Lepisosteus oculatus: one gene and its partner. The protein of the gene in region 1 interacts with the protein of each later gene in a biochemical or structural test. Links are inferred from orthologs where the notes say so. Each region holds a gene or a part of one and is shown in the gene's direction. Other genes may lie near its edges.

What was found.
Region 2: the proteins of myod1 (region 1) and csrp3 form a complex in vitro, tested with the Homo sapiens proteins (2 studies listed by BioGRID and IntAct, with this or other methods). The link is inferred for Lepisosteus oculatus from reciprocal best matches to the Homo sapiens genes MYOD1 and CSRP3.

What each region holds. Positions count from the first base shown.
Region 1 is NC_090716.1:12,164,847-12,172,061, reverse strand, and holds myod1 (myoblast determination protein 1 homolog), read left to right. Parts: upstream 1-3,962; 5' UTR 3,963-4,400; coding exon 4,401-4,910; intron 4,911-5,046; coding exon 5,047-5,125; intron 5,126-5,422; coding exon 5,423-5,661; 3' UTR 5,662-6,379; downstream 6,380-7,215. UniProt on the Homo sapiens protein: Acts as a transcriptional activator that promotes transcription of muscle-specific target genes and plays a role in muscle differentiation. Together with MYF5 and MYOG, co-occupies muscle-specific gene promoter core region during myogenesis.
Region 2 is NC_090716.1:7,308,683-7,316,599, forward strand, and holds the start of csrp3 (cysteine and glycine-rich protein 3), read left to right. Parts: upstream 1-4,900; 5' UTR 4,901-5,048; intron 5,049-6,130; 5' UTR 6,131-6,157; coding exon 6,158-6,269; intron 6,270-7,254; coding exon 7,255-7,423; intron 7,424-7,917. Other genes in the region: transcription factor E2F8, read left to right, coding at 34-243, 786-867, 1,344-1,857, 2,137-2,421, 2,514-2,649, 2,760-3,142, 3,451-3,618. UniProt on the Homo sapiens protein: Positive regulator of myogenesis. Acts as a cofactor for myogenic bHLH transcription factors such as MYOD1, and probably MYOG and MYF6.

The sequences.
Region 1 (7,215 bases):
CCTGGGCAGCTAGGACAATGGGCTTCTTGGTAAAAAACAAGGTTTATCACAATATGGTGATTTTAGACCAGAACCTTTGTGCCAAAACTGTGAAGTGGAAAACGTCGGACTCTTTCTTAATCATCCACCCACTTCCTTAGCCATCAGGGTCACGGGGAGCTGGAGTCTATCCCGGCAAGCAACGGGCATGTCCCGATCATATTACACACAAAATTAGCATATTGATGTTAGGGACAAACTTTACAATTCCCATAGGATGGCAAATTGAATTTAATTAGGCTGTTAGTAGGTCAATAGGCTGTGAGTGTGAAAACTGCCACTTAAGGTGAATACTTTGTTACACCTGGTAGAATAGCTACTTTTAGTGAAAAATATCTAGCCTATATCTACAGGTACAGCCTGTAAAATCATACTTTCTTTTCAGAAAGAGTTTAAGTACTTCTAAAACAGGGAGCAGGAAGCGCTCCTTTAGACAAAGGGGTGTGGGGGTATGGAACAAACTACCCAGCTATGTTGATGGAGCCGATACTCCGTCTTATTTTGAGAGAAGGGTGAATGAAATTCTTGGATCAACAACTAACTTATAGCCCAACAAATACGTCATTTTTAGTTCTAACTGAAAACTGAAAAGCAATCCTAAAACAGATTAATTTCTGTTGATTTTTTTGTATGTAGGATTATGACGGACAGATAGAAAAGGATGACCAAGACTAAAAATATTGCATAGGTTCAACCGCGTGAAAGAAAGCTTGGGTCTTTGATGAAGCAATGGTGATTAAATGCAGTAGCTAGTATTACATCTATTTAAATATGTAAAAAAAAAAACAATCAGAGACTGGATACAACTGTGAAATGTTAGTCTTTCTAAATGCTTTTATGTTACAAAGCGTATTCAGAACAGAAGACAGCTTTATGGGTTTTATTCGCTCACTGACAATGCGATATAAACATTAACAGAACATGAGCATACTGTATGGCTTCTATTGCCGTAGACGTAAAGATATTGACTAGGTACACTGTCGTGTTTTACTGAAGTCAGATGTGATTTTCCTTAAATCTTGCATTCAACACAATTATAGTGATAAAAAAGTATCAAATAATCCGAATGCTCCTTAATCCAGGCTCTGTTAATGACATCGAGCGAGTGGGTTATTGCTTTTTAGTAAAACCATATAAATGGTTGCGAGAATCTCGCAACAGCTTTTATTCATTCGCATTTTAAAAATATTCATTTTGGGGTGTAATAATATTATAATAAAACTGCTTTATTCATAGAGGTGGTACTGATAAATTTATTGTTAATGAGCTTGTTTGTATCTTTTGTTTAAAAGTCCTTATTTCCTCTGCAGAACCGATTACACTGAATTCTAACTGTTATTACTACTAATAATTACAATTTCAAAGCGCTAAACTATTAAAGAGGGGTTAATTAAAAAAATAATACTACAATAAGTGTTATCAAGTGCTTTAAGTACTACTTGATGCCAAACAATGGGACTTGAGACTGCACTACAGTATACAGCAAACTACCCCTCTTTCCTGTCCTCTGTTCACTGCGATATCCGTTTGTATACCGGTTCCGCGCGTTTAAGTCGGAAGACGTTGTTGACTGCCCCTACCTAGACAGTTCTCCTTGTTTTCTAATTAAATTTCCCACCTCTTATTAATTAATAATAATTCCTTACACTTACGTTCCCAGAAATGGGCGAACACGAACACTAATAAACAGATCTAATTGCACATTTGTAGATGACCAGGTGCCTTTTGTTTAAAATAACACCCGACACGCATTAATATGATTGTCCCAGGAAATATTAAGCAGCGACGTTTTGATTAAAATTCCTTCAAGCGGTTATTCGTTACACGACATTAAACGCTCACCGGCTTCAGATAAATTTAAACCTTTTCAAAATGTTACTGAATTGTGTTTGTATTGTGGAATCGCTGTAAAGTTTTAAAGTTGTGATAAAGAACTTTGTAGATCATGTATTTTTTTCTTCAATTGTAGATTGGATAATTATTGGGTTATTAATGCTAAACAACTACTTACTGTAACTAAGCTGTTCCGTATTTAACCCGAATATTAGGAACCCCGTCTTTCGTCCTGAAATAAAAATGCCCACAATGAAAAGAAATCCTTACTCATATATAAACTGTTAGACTTTGTCTTATTATGATTGCTCTTTTATTATTATTATTTTATGATTGCTCTATTATTTCAATAAAATCGTTTAACATTTTTTCTAGACGTAATATGTAAAGAAATGAACCCAAAAATGTATAGAATTGTACGACTTCAAGGTGTGTATTTCCTAAGGAAATTAATACAACGAAAAAATACATTGTTCTACATACATTGGTACATTCGTTAAGATGTGGCGATACACCCGAGATCTTGCATTGTTTTAGGATTCTGTAAATTGCCTGCCTGGCTTTTAAACCTGTACATAACAAAGGGAACCCTGACAGAATCAGGAAAAGAAACTTAAACCCAATTTAACTCATGGATTTGTACCCTGAATGGTGTATGAGCTAATTGGCTAACCACGATTTACATTCTAATGTTTGATGATACAGTATTCTACAATAAAGCTACCTTTAACGAAATATAAAGCACATATTCCTTTTTAGGGTGATTTTTTGTTGGTTTAATCACGGAACCTTGCACTTTCTTACAGGCCAACAAAAAAAAATCGGATCGTGGTAAAATTTAAAATGAAAATAGGACCTTTGAAATAACGTAGGTTTCTCTCGCTGTTTTTCAATGAGACAGTGTATGGTGCTAAAACAAGTAAACTTTGGGGACGAATGTACTTTTCCAGATACTTTTTTTTTAATACGTATATACAAATACTATAAGGTAGGCTTGAGATGTGCGTTAAGTGGGAACGATCTATTCGCTTTACCTCGACTCTTTACTGCCATCTAGTGGCGCATGATAAAACTCACTACCTGAGAGCAGAAGGGTGCTGTCATCGGAAACTTCAGGGCTACGGTTGTTGTATCTGGTGATGCGGCATCTTTCTTCACAATAAAACATAATACAGAAATAACTTCGTTAAAATGAATTAAAATAATTCAGCTTTTAATAAAAATATAATATAATATGGTTTAAATATCCAACTATTTATGGAATGTTATTATGAAATTTAAAACCTCAAGAACCGTTCAGGAACGACACGCTTATTAGAATTAAATCTAAAGAGTTATAAATAAGAAGGCACCGTGAAAAATGTATGATCAATCTTGTAAAAAATACGGTTTCGATTTAAAAGGAAGTAATGTAGTCGTTTAGCATATTTTATAACCCAAGGGTGCTTGTGGTAATGAGAACACTTTCTAAAAAACTTTTCGAATAAAACATTTGAGTTAAAACATTCACGATTAAACCAGTCAGCAAGTTGATACTGTATATAACCTATTTGACGATAAATGAGAGAGTGAGATCAACATTTCAAATAAGTGAAAAACTACCCCCTTCTGAGAAAACTAGCTGTTAAAGGCTGAAATTAGAATAAAAAAGAAAACCATCTAAAACGATAAAGGACAACATCGAAACGTCCATGTTTTCCAGTATCAAAATAAACCCGTTAGTGAGATAAACCCGGTCTGACAATAAGAAAGAAAAGCTGTTCAGTGATTTGCTTCAAATAATAATAAAAATTATCCCTGAGCATTTCTAAGGTTAGTTTGTGAACTTTTAAACTTGATAATGTAGAAAAATATTTTTTTGAAAGACCCTTCAATAAAAAGGCGTAATGGCCAGTTTAACAAGTATACAGAAGCTTATGCGAGTCGCAAAATAATTCGTGTATCCAAACACATCAGCGGTCTATTCTGCTTTATGTATTATTTTCTCGGGGGTGAGTTGAATAGATGGTTAACAAAAATGCGCTCCCTAAAACATGATAAAAATGATGTTTTTATTACTAAAATTCAAAAGTTGTGCGTGATCCCCTTATCACCCGCGGTGTTTTCTCTTTCCTGAACATTCTCCAGGATGACACCGGAGAGGAGAGGGGAACAGCGAACTCCTCCCAAGAGGCTCGCCCGTGCCCTGCCTCTCTCCGTGCTCATTGGTCACTGCAGAGAGGTGTCCGAAAGCCAAGATACGCCCAAGAGCTGCAAGTCCTCATAAATAGAGCAAAAAACACATGCTCAGCAACAGGTACCCAAAGGGTGCTTTAAGCAGGCAGTCCTGGAGACAAGCACTCACCATCCTTGGTTTTAACGTCACGTCAAGTTCTACATTTAAGACGCGTTCGGGGTTTTTGTTTTTGTAACATTTGAAGAACTGAAGTTAAACTTTACTCCTAGAAGAGAAAGGCAAAAGCCAAAGTAAACTTTTTCGTTGTTGTTTTTTTGTTTTGTTTTCTGGAGGCAGAAATCAGCCCTTCACCATGGAGTTATCGGATATCACTTTTCCCATCACCAGCGCTGACGACTTCTACGATGACCCGTGCTTTAACACCAGCGACATGCACTTTTTCGAAGACCTGGACCCCAGGCTGGTTCACGTGGGCTTGCTGAAGGCGGACGACCACCATCACAACGAAGACGAACACATTCGGGCTCCCAGCGGGCACCACCAGGCGGGCCGATGCCTGCTCTGGGCTTGCAAAGCCTGCAAGAGGAAGACCACCAACGCCGACCGCCGGAAAGCGGCCACGATGAGGGAGAGGAGGCGGCTGAGCAAAGTGAACGAGGCGTTCGAGACCCTGAAGAGGTGCACATCCACAAACCCCAACCAGAGGCTACCCAAGGTTGAAATTCTCAGAAACGCCATTAGCTACATTGAGTCCCTACAATCCCTACTCCGAGGTCAGGATGAAAACTACTACCCAGTACTGGAGCACTATAGCGGGGACTCCGACGCGTCCAGCCCCCGGTCCAACTGCTCGGATGGAATGGTGAGATGATTTTAATGATTTTAACATAGTGAGATTTGCCATCGTAACTTAGTGGCGCGTTGGTTTGACTGTAAACTTCATGCGATTCATGTGCGTTGTACCGCAAGCCGAACATTTCGAAATGTCTTTCTTCCAGATGGATTTCGGCGGCCCAACATGCACTTCGAGGAGAAGAAACAGTTATGACAGCGCTTACTTTTCCGAAACTCCAAATGGTAAGTGTCAGGCTAGACCCATCCGGCTGCAGCTGTTTGTTTTTCCTTTAGAAGGACGGGATAGCAGGCTTGGGAATCATACAGTATCGTCTGACATTAGTTGAGATGTTTTATTGTGGCCTTCTAGCAAGTGTAACGGGAATGCTGGTCTCAAGAATGACCATGTCAGCATATAGGTATACACATATGTAAAGCACGAACTTAGTCAGAAGGATGTTTATGCATGAGTACATTTCAGATCCCGTGAAATCAGTTCCGTTAGCAGCACAACGTCACAATTATTTCTTATATCTTCAGATTCCAGGACTAGTAAGAACTCGGTCATTTCCAGCTTGGATTGTCTGTCCAGCATCGTGGAGCGCATTTCAACAGACACCTCGACGTGCCCGGCGCTGCCCGCGCAGGACGGGGGCGAAGGCAGCCCCTCGTCACCCCGAGAGGGATCCATCTTGAGTGAAGCCGGGGCGCCCGTCCAGTCCCCCACCAACTGCACTCAGCTGGCCCACGACCCCAACCCCATCTACCAAGTGTTATAAATGCGCCGGGTTTCTCCCGAAATGACTGACGAACAAACTATACATTCTTTAACGAACGATTATTCCTCTAAAGACGGTGGACAAAGTTACCACGTTTCTGACTAAACCGGGGAATGGTTGCCATTCTCTTCCTATTAATAGAAAGGTGTTCCAATGCCTTAAAGGCGACATATCCCTTTTCATGCCATTTCAGTATTGATTGATTTACAGTATTATATCAGATGCACTGTCAAAGACTAACAAGAAAATGTGAATACTTACGTCAGAAAACTCTGGCGAAGAGAAATGTATTTGTGTCAACAAACAGTATTTATAGAACAGCATGTTTTTCCTAAAGGAGATTTGGGTCATGTGGTACAGATCCGTATCAGGGCTGATATGATAAGCGGTGTCATTTATTAATGCCATTATAAAGCGGTACCGCTCTAGATCATTTCATCTCGGAAACAAAGTCATCTCCGCAAAGTATTTCCACTTTATATAAAAAAAAACAAACAAAAAGCCAAAACGAAACTCATCTGGAGAATGTGGACCATTTTTGTAATGTATACTTGTAAATAAGAGCTGCTTTGCTTAAAATGTTTAAATATTTAATGTTGCTTGTTTATAGAGTCGCTTGGTTTGTTGTGTCAAATCTTTAACTTTATATTTATATATCTTAAAATCTGGGTGAATGTCACAGTTTAAATAAAGAAACCAACACGAATATTTATATATAAATGACGTGGTCTGTTTTATCTTTTTTACCTTGTGAATTCTTTGTTGACAAAATCACAATTTAGGCTAATAATAATAATTTAGGCAGTATAAAGATGAAGAACGAATTGAAGGTAATTGTTAGTAGGGAACAAACGACAGTATATTCGTTATTTGTTGCAAATGCTTTTACATATATTGCTTTTACATTATTCTAATTGAAATAATATCTAAACGTTTAGATTGGGGATACTCTGTCATGTACATAAAACATCAGAAGTAATATCAATTTTATTTTAAAGACACTGTACTGCTAACTGTGTGTTTATATGATTATATAAGTAAGATTTTACACGCCATTCTTTTAATAGGTCGCCTGTTATTTTGGTGAACATGCACAACAAGATTTTTCATTTTTTGCGAGAAGACAATTTTTAATCTTCACATCCGGTTTACAAGAATAAGTGATCTTTAAGCTATGTGTCCGTTGAACTCCGTAGGATTTATCAACGATTCGTTTGTACGTAGCAAAAACTTATACTGTCTGAATATCTTGAGCAAATAACTTTAAAAAACCAGGTATATAGAAAGCACAAAATATTCAAATTCTTTCGATTTTAGCTTAAATACGAATAAACTCCATTTATGATAAAAAAATAGCTTAATAGGTAACCTTCTTTGGAAAAGAGCAGTCATCAATGGCAAGAATATTCCCTCGAAATCGGTACATTTTGAGAGGGGTGATGGCAACAGTTCTGTCGAAAATCAACTGTTCAAATCTGAAGGCAGAACTATTTTGGAGAAAAAAAACTACTGAACGTTATCAAGAGAACTCGTGTAGAGTCGTATGCAGTTCAT
Region 2 (7,917 bases), about 4.9 Mb from region 1:
CTTCATTTTGCTTATTTTTTCCTTTTTCCACAGATGAAAAGACATCATCAGCTGCCACTTTAGCTACATCCAAGACATTAGAATCCAGATCCTCCATCGAAAATTGCGCCAAAAATCTCTTCCCTTCGTCCAAGACAAAGCATAGCTTCACACGGCACCCATCTCTTGTCAAGCTAGCAAAGAGTATCCAGGATGACCGAAGGAAAATAAACTCTGCACCCAGCAGTCCTGTCAAGATGAAAAGTAAGTGTTAGGCAGTACAGCAATACAGTGGCGGGGCATATCTTTAACACAAGTAGGAAGCTGCGTCAGCATGCGTAGGCTGCAAAGGAACAAGTAAAGGTTTATTCCATGATGAAAATAAAACAACGTTTTCGGCTGTAGAGTCAGATGGCACTTGAAGAAGGCTCCCCAGCCAAAATGTGTTTCTTTTTTTCTCTTTTTCAGCATTAAATAAATCTTTACATCTTTAACACCTACAAGTCTGAAAATAAATGATCCCCCAGATAAAGTGAACTACTGGACAGTGATACATGTCACAATGAAGCAAGATGTCTTGCTACACAGTGCCTTACAGATCATCACTGGCATCTTTTATTAAACAGGAAACAACCTCTTCCAGCAAACAGACTAGAATACTGAGCAATACATTTATAAGATGTTAGCTTTTAAATATTGTGTAAATTGTGATGGATTATGAGCAAGTATATGGCATTTAATGTCCCTTTTGCACTTTGTTTTTTTTCATTCTTTACACTTATCTCCGTATCCTTGTTTCCCCCAAGACTCGACCGATCCTGAATGTTACCCAAGCAGAATGGCCCAGCTGGCAGCCATCTGCAAAATTCAGCTTGATGAGCAATCAAGGTAAGTTCTAACTAAGGTCATTTAGTGCAATATTTCTTTTCTGTAATGTGGAAATGTTTCTTATTTCCTTATTTAACTTGGTTCGGACAAAGCATCAAACTTTGGTTTTTAATAGCCTTAATGCATCTAAACAAACAAGTAATAGGTTTATTCCATGCTGAAAAAAAAGAAGAAAGAAAACGTTTCGGCCGTGGAGCCTTCTTCAGGTGAGAAAGACAAGACACCTGAAGAAGGCTCCACAGCCAAAACGTTGTTTTCTTTCTTCTTTTTTTCCAGCACGGAATAAACCTATTACTTGTTCCTTTGCAGGCTACACATGCTGACGCAGCTACCCACCTGAACTACTTAATGCTAATACAGTGATAATGCACATACACACCAAAAAACAGTCACCATGGGGGAATCAAAACTTCATTTGTTCAATGCAACTCATTTTTCTACCTCATGAAATAAACTGCTATTTACTTTTGTTTTAGGAAAAGCAAGAAGAAACCCAAACAGACTGTGACACAAGCTCAAAAACAAAAAGGAAAAGCCACCAAAACATCAGGAGCTGTTGAGCAACTAGTAAACGCAGAACAGCAGGATACCAACTCTCAGGCTAAGACCCTTGCGCCATCTACCAGAGCAGTACCTTATCTTCACTGTCAGTATTCTCCCCTCATCCCCATGATACTACCTCAGAACCAGACTGCTGGACCATGTGCTATATATGTGCACTCTTGTGCGCGGCCAGTAGCTAATCGCTCCAGCCTGGCTGTACGATCCATGAGATTTGAAGATAAAGGTGGGGAAAGTCCACCTGACGCTGGCTTAGAAATCCACTGCGACAGGACAGCTTCAGCTTCTGATCCAGAAAATGACTCCTCTCAAAAGAATTGCCAGTCGCCTTGTTCGCTGAACAGTCCCAAGAGGGTCTATAAACGAGCCTGTACTGAAAAGCTTGAAAACTCTTCTCCAAAAAGAAAGAACACCCAGACAAATTCTAGGGTATGTTTTCCTCTTTCTATTTTTGATTCTAAGGGTGTTTCCAGAGCTACAGATAACCTAAAAATATTAGCTACGTTCATTGTTAGCAACTGTCATTCAGAAAAGTTAATTTGTTATATTACTTAAAAAGTGCCTGACCAATAGGTTTAGTCAAGCGTTAAGGAAAGACGTATGTAACTCTCCTGCTTGGTTACCGATGATTCGGTGTCAATTTTCTCAGATGCGACCCGAGAAAATGCTCATTCTTAAGTGAAATTCTCTCCTGATTTTTATCATCAGGGTTCGTCACCCGGTGAAGCAGAGCTATACGAACTCTACCTGGACAAGCTCAAGGCACGCAGGGGATTGGTACCCAACAGACCTTCGCCTAGAGCCTTGCACTTAGATCCAGAGTTTATCAATACCCCGGAGAACAAGGGATCAGAGCAGCTTGACGAAAGTGTGGAGACATTCCTGGAAAAAGAAGAGAAGCTTTCGTGTTCCGACAGCGAAGCAGGACTTACTCCTATACGATCGGTCTCCGTGCCAGAAATCATGGTGCCTTCTGGTCATCTGCACCCTGAGGTAACCAAAGTTTGATATTTCCGTTCCAAATGATATCCACGGATGGGAAAATGTGTTCTGACCATTGATTTTTGTTACATCTGTTGTTCCAGGCACTAGTGCCAGCCGGCTATCTTATTCCCATATCGCAGCAGTCCCTCTTCAGCCTTCAGAGGTCGCGGTCCCCGGACGGAGAAAGCCCCAAGCCCTCAGCTTCACACCACAAGGCTTACCAACCCCCTGTCACAGGTACCGACACGGAGCGAGAAAGCTCACAAGATAGCATTGGAACTCCCGTGTTTCGGAAGTGGTTGAAACCCATTTGACTACCATTCTGTCTTTGCCCCCCTCCCCCACAGGGGCCCTACCTGTGATGTCTTCAGAACTCACCCCTACGAGCTTCACATCGCACGCCACGTTTCAGCACCCCAGCCCCTCCGTCTCCCTCGCCTCCTTTCCAGTTATCAACCAGTCGAGCCCTTCTTTTGCCTCCGGGCAGCACGTGAACAGCCCCAGCCCCGCAATACTGAACTTCACACTACAGAACCTCGGGCTGATCTCGGCTGGAATCCCGCAGGGTGCCAGCCCTGGCACTGTGGCCACCCCCCTGGAGCAGGCCAGCCCCGTCCCAGGACACCTGAGCTTTCAGCCAGGGGGGATGATCTTCATCAAGCCTATGTCTCCAGTCCCGGTTCAGCCTCAGATGCCTGGACAGCATGTTACTTTGATCAGTTTACAGCAGGTGAGAACTAGGACTTGGTTGTTCAAGACCTCTTAAAAGAAGAGAGACAAAAAAATGTTTCACGCTACTATATAGTAATATGCAGTTGTTGATGTAACACATTGTAAATTATTAAATATTTATAGCAGCAGTGAAATACAAAAAAGACGTGCAAACTATGTAGAAATTATTTTTAACCAGTTACAGAAGCAGTCAGAACTGTTTATGTAAAGCATGAATTAACATTAGAGTAAAAGTATCCATTACACACCTTGAAAACTTTGAATCCAAGTTATCAGCTGACTGTAACTGTTTTTATTTTCAAACAGCCTCTTCTGGCAACGCCCAAAGCATCCCAGTGTGCTCAACAGAGCTTCTTCCACACCCCAGTCTCCACCTTGTCTCCCTTGGCTGCTGTGGTCTCGTCTAGTCATTCGTCTCACGAGAACATTTACATACCGCAGAGGAAACTTGAAGTGAGCACTGAAGAAACCTGAAGACTGTAGCAGCAGACCCTCTCTGCACTGTTTTTTTCTTTCATGAGCTGCAAAACGATATTTATAAAGCTTTGACAATTTGACTGTGTGAGTGGGGGGGTGTCCCTTTGCACAAAGGGGTACGCTAGTTCATATTAAATTATTTCTAGGTCCTAAGCACAGACGTGTTCAGGTCCTGCAACACCTGCAGTGAAAGTCATTAAAAAGTTTTGTGGATTTTACAAAACAGATGGATATACCTTCTGAAGACTACAGCCCCTGCTACCAGGTGTCCTCTAATAAAAACTGCAGCATGGAAAAACTTAAAATATAGGGTACCTGCAGGTTTTAGAGTAGTTACAAAACAGCATACTGTATGTACTCTGCTATTTACTTCTTGCAGTTTCTACTGAACCAGACTTGTGCCCCATGATCACTGAAACTAACTGGGCTTGAAAACCTGCAAAAACACAAATACAGTTTACACTGTACATCTTAAAGCACAGACAATGTTTTAACAGTTAATCAACATTTCCACAGGATGAGAAAACATTCACACTGAAGATCTCCATCTTTAATGTTAAACACTAGCTTTTTATACAGTCAGTGCTGTAGCAGAACTGGAGTTTTAAGCAGGAAGTGGCACAGGACCTCGGACCCAATGCATTAATGTACTGCATAATTTTCCAATGCCCATTTAGGATATTCAAAATATGCATGTAGGAATAAACTATGACAAATGTTTCTTATTCAGTAATACAAGTAGCCTTAATAGGACAAATCAAACCGATACATGGATGATTCATGTTTTGCATGTTAGCAAAAAGATGTACGGCACAATGACATTTTGCACATTTTATATGTTAACTGTTACAGTTCTTTAATTGGTATCTATGAAATAAAGATAAAAAATGAATGTATGGGGAAATTTCCTATTAGTGTAATCAGGTGAATTATAATTTCATTAATTTATAGGAAGGATTTTCTTACATTTGTCAATGATCAAAATTGTTAACCTGGACTGCTTTGGTTGGATTGCAGTTGAATTAATTTGATATGTACACATTTACTAAGAAAATAAAGGGGGATTCTTTCTGTTTTCAGCATACAACACCTGTATTTCTTTTCACTGATGAAAATTTCTTAACTAAGGACCCTTCAATACAGCCTACAAATCTGACACATGCAGCTGCCTTCATATTTACACACATGCCCATATTTATCATGAGAACAAATGGCACCCCTAGGGACTTACCAGTTCCCAGCACAAAGCAAAGGATTTGTCAGAAGTTATTTTGGGAAGACCGCTTAATTTGGATGTCAGCTACTGATACCTCCTATAGCTGTGAATGAAAGATGTCCAGTATTTAAGGCTGCCTGGTTTGACATCAACTCAAACCCACCGATCTAAGCAACAGAGAAGGACTACTGGACCCAGGGATCTCTATTTTGTAAGTCTTGGTATTGTTTTACAAAGACTTTCTCATAAAGTATCACAGAATGTCACGTCAAAATATTGAATTCCGTGCTATATCATGAGTTATGTTGGATTAACTGGTTGTAAAATACTTTTGTATTGATTTTGGTGTTAGTAAATTGTAGTGGCAAAATTCCCGTCTCGTCCAAAATATCATTAGAGTTGTGTTTTTAAACATGTAATTAAACCGTGAAACCATTATGGTAGTCCTGATGAAGTCCAGCCGAATAGAATAAAAAACCTGCATACCAGTTAATGTTTTAATAAATTCTTGCCAATATCGTTTTATCTCGGGAGTTAACGTTACATATGTTACTAAACTATTTTTTCCCCTCAAGTCGATTTGTATATTTCGGGAATGAAGCCTCAAACTGCATGAAATCATCTAAATATTTACCTTTAAAGAACCATTGGCATAAGTTCTTCAGTACGTAACTGTGGTCTTTGTACAGACCCTATTCCTGGACTCTTATCGCGGCATTCCAGACATTCAAATTGCTTAATGTCGCTTAATCAATGGAGAGAATAAGTAACTTGCGTGTAGTCTATCAGTCACCCGATACCTTATCGCTCATTTGGGATAAAACTTCACACACATCAAACACTCTTCTGTTCATTCTTATCACTATATAATAAATTGATCATAACGTTTTAAATAACGGGCTAAATTGATTTATTTTCTAGTTGTGTCTTGACGTGTACAAAAACTTGGCACTAATTAATATTTGCCACGCAATATACAATTAATAGTAGATATGTATTACTAAAAGAACTTGGTATACGTTTAAAATACGTTCAATGCTCTGCGAATAAAGATTCAAAAGCAAAATGCTTTTAAGGCCATGAAAATGTCATAACACGCTAAAACACCTTAATGCTAGAACATTTAGAGTAAGCATGCTTGAAACGAATCCCTTATAAAATATTTTTTTAAGTATTAATGGTCTGAAAACGCGGTTCCAATGAGGTATTTAATGATGCGAAGTTGGTAAATACTGTTGTTTCAGGATACAGGTACTGTATGTTGTGCGGTTGTGTGATTTTTCTCTTTTCCAGCAGATCGTTTGAAAAAACAGATTTAAGATGCCGAACTGGGGCGGTGGAGCGAAGTGTTCAGCCTGTGAGAAAACGGTTTATCACGCAGAGGAGATACAGTGCAATGGAAGAAGTTTCCACAAAACCTGCTTTATCTGCAGTGAGTCCTCCGTTTATTCACCACTAATGGTCCACACGGACGACACTTCTCCGTCGCTCATTTTTGTCTTTGGGGGCATTTGGGATGGGTCTGTGCTGAGGGCGCAGGGAATGAACTCTAAACCAAACGTTTGCCCCTTTTTCAAAAAGGCACGCAAATCCTGCGACACCTGTTTCAAGATGTCATTGCAGAAAACAGACGAGCATACAGTAGTTTAGAGACGCCAGTTAACCTAAAAAGCGTGTCATTGTACTGCGGGATGCAGTCGCCGCACAAAAGCACCCCTGGGCTCCGAATTGAAACCCAGGATTTAAGAGCTTGCAGGGCAACAGACCTATCCAGCTCTTCATCACGTGTTATGAACTGTAGCCCATAATTAAATTGCAAGTCTGACATTTGGGCTGCAATCGGTAATGTCATTGAATCCCAAATGTCCGTGTAATTAATTGCCGTTCAGGCTGTGCTCCGTCTGTTGCGGCAAATTAAAAAGTTTACCCTCCGAAACAAAAATGGAATTAGAAACCAGGTTATACTGGCCAATAGCTCAACATCAACAGCGGACAATTTTGCATGCAAGGGAATTTGGAGACTGGCACAATATTAACTAAAATATCTGTTATCTTCACAGCGACCTTCTTTGGCTACTTAACAACGTAGCACCGAGGTGTGGAAATCACCAGGGCTCAATCTGAATGATGCTAGCTCTATCTTTAGCAGGCCAGGCAAAGGTCATGTGTGACATTTATAAATAGCTTTCATTGTCAGGTTTGACGCCATTTTATTTTTGTGACCACGATAAGTCAAGTTTTTAACTAAATTTAAATTTACCTTTTGGCTAGCAAACGGTACTTTTATGTACAACATACCCCAGGATGAAGCATCATACTGACAGGCAGCGACCAAATAAAAAAAACAACAACAACAACAACAACAAATGTTTTGCAGCTCCCGTCTTCTAAGAAAGCTTTACCTTTGTTTCTTCTAGTGGTCTGCAGAAAAGCCCTTGATAGCACAACGGTAGCAGCACACGAGTCTGAAATTTACTGCAAGACCTGTTACGGGAAGAAGTATGGTCCAAAAGGCTACGGCTATGGACAAGGTGCGGGAGCACTCAGCTCAGACCCCGGAGAGCACCTGGGGATTCAACCGCAAGAGTACGTGAAGGGAATTCATCCAGCAGATCAAATACCATTTTCAATTTCCTGTTTACCTAAACTACAGCACTAAATAAGTGTCCCAAAGTCCAGTGCCAAATGCGCAAAAGTGTTCCTTGTACGCGAAGTCATCCGCGTATTTTTGGAGCTCACTTTGCAACTTCAAAGGCAATAGTCAGCTTCTGCGTCTTCAGTAGAACCGAGTTTAGTCAAATCCATCAATTGCCCTCTGCAGCGTAATACGTTTTTTTTTCCCCTGAGGTTTATCAAGTTAATATGAACTACACACTTCTCCAAACGGTTCGAATTTTGCCAGGACGCCTGGTTCAACCGTGAAACGCACCTGAGAAGCTACCGGACTGAATGCGTCCTGAACAGACCCGGAGTAGTGATCAGGGTCACCTGGAAATTATGTTTGAGACTGATTTGCTTGAGGCAAAATCCTCCGACGCTCAAATATTGAATGGGAATCACTCCATCTTGTTTTCGTAATG